2 linked regions of the Rattus norvegicus genome follow. The protein of the gene in region 1 interacts with the protein of each later gene in a pairwise test. Links are inferred from orthologs where the notes say so. Each region holds a gene or a part of one and is shown in the gene's direction. Other genes may lie near its edges. The genes, in order: Rad54b and Ribc2.

Region 1 (4,251 bases):
CACAGACCTTCTGCGATGTGCATGCCAATAAGTGCATACGTAAGATAGAAATGCACATGAAGATATTTCTGAAGTTACTAGACAGGTGTTTTGATCCCTTCTTTGAAAGGAAGGAGGCTTTTTGGGGGGGAAGACTAAAGTAAGCAGGTAGCTACCTTGGCAACCCAGATAACTTCAGTGAATGTTCTATCATTAGCTTCGATTTCCTTTTTTTTTTTTTTTTTTTTTTTGCCTTGCTTAAATCTGAACGATACTGTTTTTGAGCTGAACTCAGAGTGACAGAGAAAATTGGTTTCCCATAAAATTAGTTTCCCTTACAGCCCGTTGGGTTTACTCTGTCCCTAGCTAAACTCTTGTTAATACTCTCAGCTGCATCCTGGGCCATGGTCAAGAGAGGACATGTGGAAGAATGGATATGATTTTCTGACAGCCCGTAGAAAAGGAGGCACCATAGCAACTGCTGAGTAGAGGCAGCAGACAACAACTTCCCCCACCTAGAGCAGCCAGAGGGGACTCCACTCAGGTGAAGCTGGGATTCTTGATTTGTCATAGAAAATAATTTCAGAAGTCAGTCTGAAGCCAAGTTTTAGTTTATTAAGGGATCTTAACATAGATTTAAGCAAGTCTTTAATTGAAATAGTAGCTGTTAGGGACATAAGTGTGGGTGTGGACATCTCAAGAGAAAAATATGCGAGGCTGGTGGCTTCTGAAGTTACACTGATCAAAGGTTTCTAAAAACCTGTGTTTTTGGAGGAAGGGTTTACTTAAGTTTTATGTGTATAGGTGTTTTGCGGGCATTTATGTTGGTGCCCTACATGTGTGCAGTGTTCGAAGAGGCCAGAACAGGGTGCTTTTTAATTTTGGTCAAACTTGTATAAAATCCAGCGAATGACCTTTAAACACTCTCTTTTCAAACGTATCTAACTCCAACTCCAGATTTTTTTAGGGCAGAAAGATTGGTGTTATTGTAGCATTTGGAAGTTCTTTTGGGTAATGCTTTGAATGATACCACGACCTTGTCTACGATACTTTATAAATAGTGTTTTTTTTTTAAATCAAAAGGAGCCTTTCTCTTTTTCACGAGATTCCATAATCACGCATTTGTTTTTCTACTCCTAGAACTTAAAAGGGCTTGTAAAAGATTCTGCAATTACTACTCAGTGTCACTTAAATAACAGGATTTCATGTACCTCAGTGATGCACACACTTCTACGATCCGAATCATAATTTACTGATTTAAGTTGTGAGGTTTGTCGCTTCAGCTAGAATCTGAAGACTGGAACCAAACCCATAGGTTTTGGATCTAAGCAGTCAACCGGAACCAACCCTAGATGCAAGTAAAAGGAAGTGCAAAGGTTCCAGAGTTCCGACAGTCGTCCAATCAGAGTCGGGGGACGGAACCGGCGTGGTGGTGCGCATGCCCGGCGCCGGGTCGGCGGTTGGCTGTATGAAGGCGGGAAGCTCGAGCTGGCCGGCCTAAGGCATTGCTACTTGCTGCCGGGTGCTCGCGGTTTCAGTCAGCTTGCCGGGTAAGTCTCTGCCGCGGAGACCCGGGGTGGCGCGTGCGGTGCCTGGTGAAGGATGGCGCAGGTCCTGGGAGAGCGGGGCGGCCAGAGCCCGGGCGCTGGCTGGCTTGGGGCGGGACAGGGGGCGGGTCCTGCGGGGTCGCGGGGGCCGGGGCCCGCGAAGCCGCCTGGGGCCTGAGAACAGCAGGTGTCAGCCAAGGGGTTGTAGAACTATCCAGCGCCTTTCCTAGACGATGCACTTACCGACTGGTTCTCTCTGCTCCCTGCTTCCAAAAACAAACAAACAAACAAACCATTTACATTAATTATGGAGGATTTTGTAGGAAGGTGGACTGGAGTCCCGAAGCCTAAGGAGAATTTACAGTTTGAAATGGAAATCTTTGGCTACAAGCCAGAAAGCTGAAACAGCAAGGGAGGTCTTTTGCTGGCTGGTGGGGTTTTATTTATTTTCTAGCATCCTAGAGTTTGCCACACCCTTTCCTCAGTGAAGTCCAGAGGAAGGCAGAGATTCTGGCTACGATCCTGTAGGCAGAACTACATCCCTCTGTCTTTCCCTTTCATGGGACCTTTGTTGTTTCTACTTTCTACTTTCTTAGGATTTTGTGGATTAAACAGGCAACAGTAATTATAAGTAATAATATTACAGAAAGTATTGAGTACTGTGCACCAAGCTTTGCTCTAAATTCTTAAAATATTTCATCTCACGGTTGCATAGTTGTATGCTTAAGTGTGATTAAGAGTGATTAAGACACAGGAGAAAACACATGCATTTAAGCTAACTGCAGAATCACCTGCTGGGAAAGTCATTGGTGCACAGTAATTAAGGCACACACGATGTGTTCCTGATCTCAGCCTAGTCTGGTCGTTTTCCTGGGGTGACCTTATCTTAGCCAAAGATTCAGTCAGGTGCACGAAATCCTAGCATTTCAGTAGAGATGCCAAGTGGCTTTATTTCTAGGGCGTGTAAAAAAGGTCTCCGCAAAACTAGTTTACAAACCAGCTACAGCCTGGCAGGAGATAGAAGATCTCAAGTTCAAAGCCAGTCTGGGACCTACAGAGAGCCCTTGTCTCAGAAAACAAAACAAACTAGTAAAGATGTCAGTATTTGTGGGGAAATAAACTGATTTCTGTAGTTTACTTTAAAATGCACCAACAGATTAGATCAACAGACCACCAGTTTCATAATTTGATTTAAGATTTTGCTAGTAATGATGGTTTGTATTTGAAGGAACCACAGAGCACGACCTCCACCCAAATCTTTTAAACTAGTAAAAACTGACATCAAACAGTTAACGTATTTCACTTTAACATTAATGAAGCTGAATGTCCAGCTATCAATGCAACGATGGACTGTTTTTGAATATAAGAAATAATGGTATATTTGAAAATTGGTGGCATTTCAGATATAACAAAATATGATAAATTTAACCAGTCTAGTTTATTATAAAGATAACATCATCTTTGTGGGAAATTTGAAATTTGTAAAGAACTCAGAATAAAATCACTTGTTATTTCTAACATGTAGAGATAATAAGTGTTTTCATGTCATAGGTGCTAGTCTTATCATGAAATTCATTTATATTTCTTAAAATTTTATTTGTATTTATCTATTTGTGTGTGTGTGTGTGTCTGTGTGTGTGTGTGTGTGTTTCAAGACAGGGTTTCTCTTTGTAGCCTTGCCTATCCTGGAACTAGCCCTGTAGACCAGGCTAGCCTAGAACTCACAGAAATCCCCCTGCCTCTGCCTTCTGTGTGCTGGGATTAAACTAGTGTACCACTGCTGCCACCGCCACCTGGCTTGGATTTCTATTTTTAGATCAATTTCTAACAAACTTCTTTTTGGAGTGGGAAACAATGGGGCAGTTTTATTGCCGCATGAAGAGTGCCTGGGGAGTGGACATATTCGAGGGGCCTAAGCTGTTAGTTGGGACATGCGGAGTGCTCCTAAGGATAAGGTAGAATTAAAGAAAAAAGCGTCCCAGCTTCATCAGAGGAAAGAGTGGTCAGAGTCTAGAGGAAAAGAGAACTCGTCTAGGTGGAGGAGCCGACTCAGAATGTTAGGAGCTCGTGGAGACTGTTCCATTGTGAACATGGGTGGATGATTTATCCATCTAGTGCTGTTATGGATAAGTGGCTCTTTTTTTTTTTTTTTGCTATAAGTGGTACTAAAGTACTTGTACATAATCATTTAAGCATATTTTTGATACTTCTTTATAAAAAGAGTCAAATTTCTGAGTTAACCAAATGATTTTGGTAACTATGTATATGCTGGGCAGTGTTTTGTAAAATTGCAGCGAAGACTAGCTGCTCCCAGCTTGCGCTCACTGGAGCGCTCGCGCTCTCGCTCTCTCTCTCTCTCTCTCTCCCTCTCCCCCTCTCTCTCTCTCCCTCTCCCCCTCTCCCTCTCCCTCTCCCCCCTCTCCCTCTCCCTCTCTCTCTCTCTCTCTCTCCCTCTCCCCCTCCCTCTCCCCCTCCCTCTCCCCCTCTCCCCCTCTCCCCCTCTCCCCCTCTCCCTCTCCCCCTGTCTCCCTCTCCCCCTCCCCCCCCCCTCTCTCTGAGGTCCAAGAATCCATTGGTTGTTCAGTCCATGGCTGGATGTCTCAGCTGGTCTTCAGTGTATGCTGAGTACACCGGAATGCCAGTGAAGGGATGAACTAACCAGGGAGAGAGGGGGAGGGGGAGGGGGAGAGCCGGCACAAAGAGCAAACTTCCTTCTTAGACCTGG
Region 2 (4,577 bases), on another chromosome or scaffold:
TTATCTTTTCCCACTGCTGAGTTTGCTTTATACCTCTCAACTGTAATGCATAATAACCTTGAGTAAACAATAAATCAAACACTGAAAGATCTCTTAGCAAATCATTAAACCACAGGGTAGTCGTGGAGATCTTCACCCAATGGTAGATTTGCTATATAATGAATATTAAAGATGAATCTGTTCTATCAAAACTAAAAAACTTTTAAGTGCTCAGACTGAAGACATCTGCAGTGAATGATTTAAACACAGCACTAGGAAAACTATTCCAGAAATTAACGTTTAGGCTCTAAATTAGGATCTATGTTTGGGTTACAAGTGCTTTTTTTTTCCAACAAAGGACAAATCCATTTCATTCTTAGTACTTGCTGCTGTTGGGCTGAGATGGGATTGGGGGGGGGGGGTTACGAGACACGGGACTACAGGGCAGGAGGGCCAAGGGGGGATGAGGACAGCCAGCAAGGGTTGGTGGCCCAGGATTCTGGGCTCTTGGGCATAGTCCATTAGCAAACACTGAATCCTCAGGCCAGTGGGCCCTCAGGCCCTTGGGTCCCATTTAGGCCTACAGCGGGTGAAGGAGAGGGCGTGGATGGGCTGGGGGGAATAGGTGCTCGGTCCCCTCAGGCCAACAATGGGGTTACAGAGGCCCCTGGATCCCCTCAGATAGATGGGGAGCGTGGGGAGGTGGAGGAGGGTTACAGACGGACTGACTGGGCTGGGGACAGGGTTTGGTTCCCTCAGACCAACAGTGGGTCCCTCAGGCCTACAGCAGTCAACAGCAGGGACTGGGGTAGCTCCGTCCCCTCAGACCAACAAAAGGTCCTTGGGTTCCCTTGAGCCTACAACAGTCAACAGTGGAGTAGGAGCAGGAAGGGGGCAGTCAGCAGGCAACAGCGAGGCCCTGGAGTTGCCTCGGTCCCCTCAGGCTAACAGTGGGTGAGGACAGGCCCCCGGGTTTCCTCAGGCCGACAGCGAGCCCCCTCAGTCTAACATGGGACCCTGGGTCCCCTAAGGCCTACAGAGGGCCTGGCTCCTCTCCGGACTACAACGGCAACAACGGAGTTGGGGTTTGTGGTCTCGGTCCCCGCAGACCCACAGGAGACGACAATGGGGGCTGGGGGTGGCTCGGTCTCCTCAGGCCAACAACAGGCGAGAGTAGGTCCCTGGGTCCCCTCAGGTCTACAGCGGGCGACTGTGGCCCGTGGATCCCCGAGGCCGCGGATTTCTGGGGTGCTGGTTACCCGAGCCGTTGGGGCCGATGATACAGGTGAACCTCTTGAAAGGGCCGATGACCTGGCGGCCTCGCCACGACTTGAAATTCTCCACGAGCAGCAACTCAAGGTGCCCCATGGCTGCGCTCCGTGCCTCAGCCGCTCCCTCGTGCGCCCGTGAGAAAAGCGCGGGAAGAATTTTTCTAAGTCTCGCGAGACTGGCGCGAGCGAGCGAGGCGCCGTTGCTTAGCAACCGAGGTTGGCGTCTCCCGGGGAATCCGATTCCTGCGCCACAAAGATCGTTGCGGAAAGCGGACTGCCTGTGTCCGCTGGGACAGACTTGCTCTCAAACTTTTGTGGGCGCTGCTTCTCGGCGCTGTAGCTTATTTCTGTGGGCTTTTCTTACCGTGTTTGTTCAGAAAGCCCCTGAAGCCTTGCCAAACTCCAGAGCCATGGAGGTAGCAATTCCTAAAGACCTACAACAGGAGGCCAGCCTAGCCAAGAAGCGGTACATGGACCTGTGCAGGCAGGGACAGATCTTCGACGCCAGAAACAGGATCATTGGGGTGAGACACTTGGAACGGGACAGAGAGGAGCCAAGGCTCTGATGGAGCCTTTATTTGAAAGCACCAAGTTTGGCCGGGTGGACTTGGAAATCCTTACCTGCTCAGGAATGGCCCAGCAGGAGCCAGTTCCCCAGGTGACAAATGCCCTGGGTCCAGGAAGTGAGAGACCTTTCACTACTGTGAAAGAGACAGACTTTAAAACACAGAAAATGCAGTGGGATCCACACCAGCACCGACTGGAGCCTGGAGGGGAAACAGAGAGGGCTTCACAGAGGAGTGTTATTTAAACATTGATAAGTGGATATTAGCCCAAATGCTCGAATTACCCTAGATGCACAGAACACATAAAACTCAAGAAGGATGACCAAAATGCGGATGCTTCACTCCTTCTTTAAAAGAGGAACAAGAATACCCTTGGGAGAGAATAGGGAGGCAAAGTTTAGAACAGAGGTTGAAGGAACACCCATTCAGTGCCTGCCCCACATGTGGCCCATACATATACAGCCACCCAATTAGATAAGATGGATGAAGCAAAGAAGTGCAGGCTGACAGGAACCGGATGTAGATCTCTCCTGAGAGACACAGACAGAATATGGCAAATACATAGGCAATGCCAGCAGCAAACCACTGAACTGAGAACGGGACCCCCGTTGAAGGAATCAGAGAAAGGACTGAAAGAGCTTGAAGGGGCTTAAGACCCCATATGAACAACAATGCCAACCAACCAGAGCTTCCACGGACTAAGCCACTACCCAAAGACTATAAGTGGACTGACCCTGGGCTCCAACTGCATAGGTAGCAATGAATAGCCTAGTAAGGGCACCAGTGGAAGGGGAAGCCTTTGGTCCTGCCAAGACTGAACCCCCAGTGAATGGGATTGTTGGGGGGAGGGCGGTAATGGGGGGAGGATGGGGAGGGGAACACCCATAGAGAAGGGGAGGGGGAGGGGGATGTGGGCCTAGAAACCAGGAAAGGGAACAACAATTGAAATGTAAATAAGAAATACCCAATTTAATAAAGATGGAGAAAAACAAACAAACAAACAAAAAAACAATGTTGGGGACGGGGTGGGGTGGGGAGAGTCGTGGCCTACTGAATACCGATAGCTGGCTCTAACCTCTCTTCCCTTTAACATTCCTAGGGAGACACACAAGCCTGGGATGTTCAAGTTCGTAACCAGAAGATAAAAGAAGTAACTGAAAAAGCTAGGGATGAAACCTTTGGTGAGCATTTCTAAAAGGCCCATCTATCTTAGGGCCTCATGTCTTTCTTTTTCCATGATTGAGAAAACCATGGCATCTGCTTTGTGTCTCCTGGGCCCTGGGACTCAGTGGCCTGACTGTTCATGAGTGCACACACAGGAGCCCGTGCACACGCACACACACACACACTCATGCACTCAAGCACACACTCACGCACAGGTGTGAGCACATACACAGAGTTATCATTTTTTTTCGGAGCTGGGGATGGAACCCAGGGCCTTGCGCTTGCTAGGCAAGCGCTCTACCACTGAGCTAAATCCCCAACCCCCAGAGTTATCATTTTTATGGTCTTTCTCCTTTTAAAATTTTGTGATTTCTTGTGCTCAGTTAACTTAATAAGCATATCCTTCCTCTCAAGAAAAAGAAGTTATTGAATTTTAATGTACATCTTAGGAGACATGTTTTAAATAAAGTTAGGATTGTTTTGTGTTTTCTTTAATTTTTTTTCTCTAAAAAGGAAAAGCTTTAAGTACATATGTACCCATTCTCTGCTTCAAAACTTAACACTGGCCTAGGGAGGACAGCTGCTGATATCAAGTGACACTTGCAATGCTGGAGCACGAATGAATGCACACACATATACCCGCTCATGCACATACGTGTTCGATTGCACACTCATACACACGTGGTTATCATTTTCACTGTCTTTCTTTTAAAATTTCACACTTCCTTGTGCTCGGTTAACTAAGTGGGCATTTTCTTCCTGTCAAGAAAAAGCAGCTTTGAGTTTTAAGTTCTGAACCATCTGGGTGATTTACATGGCTCAATTCGTGTCCTAGGTCCTAGATCAAAATTCCTAACAGAATCCAGTCTTCCTTTCTTGGCCAGCAATTTCACCAACTGTTGAACATTTGGCTTTTTTAAAAATACCATAGGGGCTTTTAAATATAAAAAAACTGGACATACAAATTTTTAGAGACAAATGGGCCACCAACTTACGTCTTAAAGCATGATTAGAAAAAGACAGAATCCGTTGTCAGCGGTTAATGTCGGAATAGTTGGACTATGAGGGAAATTGCCATTTTTTTATACTATTATACATTTTCCAAACTTTTCAGCCTTGTTTATTTTGATTTGTAAAGTAATTCAAACACCAACATAACAGACACATGCAGCTGCCACTAGGCCTCTGGTATTCTCCTTTAAGAATTCATTCTGGTGCTTGCTTCAGCAGCACCAATTTAACTAACATTGGAACGATACAGAGATTAGCATGGGCCCTGCACAAGGATGACACGCAAATTCGCGAAGCGTTCCATATTTAAAAAAAAAATTCATTCTGAGAACTGTGTTGTATATAGCACAAGTGCCCCGTTACAATTTCCCCCTTTTTTTTCTTCTACAGAAGTGTGCATTTCCAATGTGTTTATGCTTGTACTGTTTATATAACCACAACAATAAGAACTTGCTTTTATGTATCTTTGTATGTTTTGTGTGTGTGTATGTGTGTGTGTGTGTGTGTGTGTGTGTGTGTGTGTTGTGTGCACATTTGGTATATACAGGTAGCACAGAAGCCACACAGACCAGGCTGGCCTCTGCAT

Evidence for each region.
Region 2: the proteins of Rad54b (region 1) and Ribc2 interact in a two-hybrid assay, tested with the Homo sapiens proteins (2 studies listed by BioGRID and IntAct). The two-hybrid records come from large-scale screens. The link is inferred for Rattus norvegicus from reciprocal best matches to the Homo sapiens genes RAD54B and RIBC2.

What each region holds. Positions count from the first base shown.
Region 1 is NC_086023.1:29,828,020-29,832,270, forward strand, and holds the start of Rad54b (fibrinogen silencer-binding protein), read left to right. Parts: upstream 1-1,445; 5' UTR 1,446-1,529; intron 1,530-4,251. UniProt on the Homo sapiens protein: Involved in DNA repair and mitotic recombination. May play an active role in recombination processes in concert with other members of the RAD52 epistasis group.
Region 2 is NC_086025.1:118,121,279-118,125,855, forward strand, and holds the start of Ribc2 (RIB43A-like with coiled-coils protein 2), read left to right. Parts: upstream 1-1,488; 5' UTR 1,489-1,660; coding exon 1,661-1,774; intron 1,775-2,915; coding exon 2,916-2,997; intron 2,998-4,198; exon of another isoform or gene 4,199-4,301; intron 4,302-4,577. Other genes in the region: Smc1b (structural maintenance of chromosomes protein 1B), read right to left, coding at 1,239-1,347. UniProt on the Homo sapiens protein: Microtubule inner protein (MIP) part of the dynein-decorated doublet microtubules (DMTs) in cilia axoneme, which is required for motile cilia beating.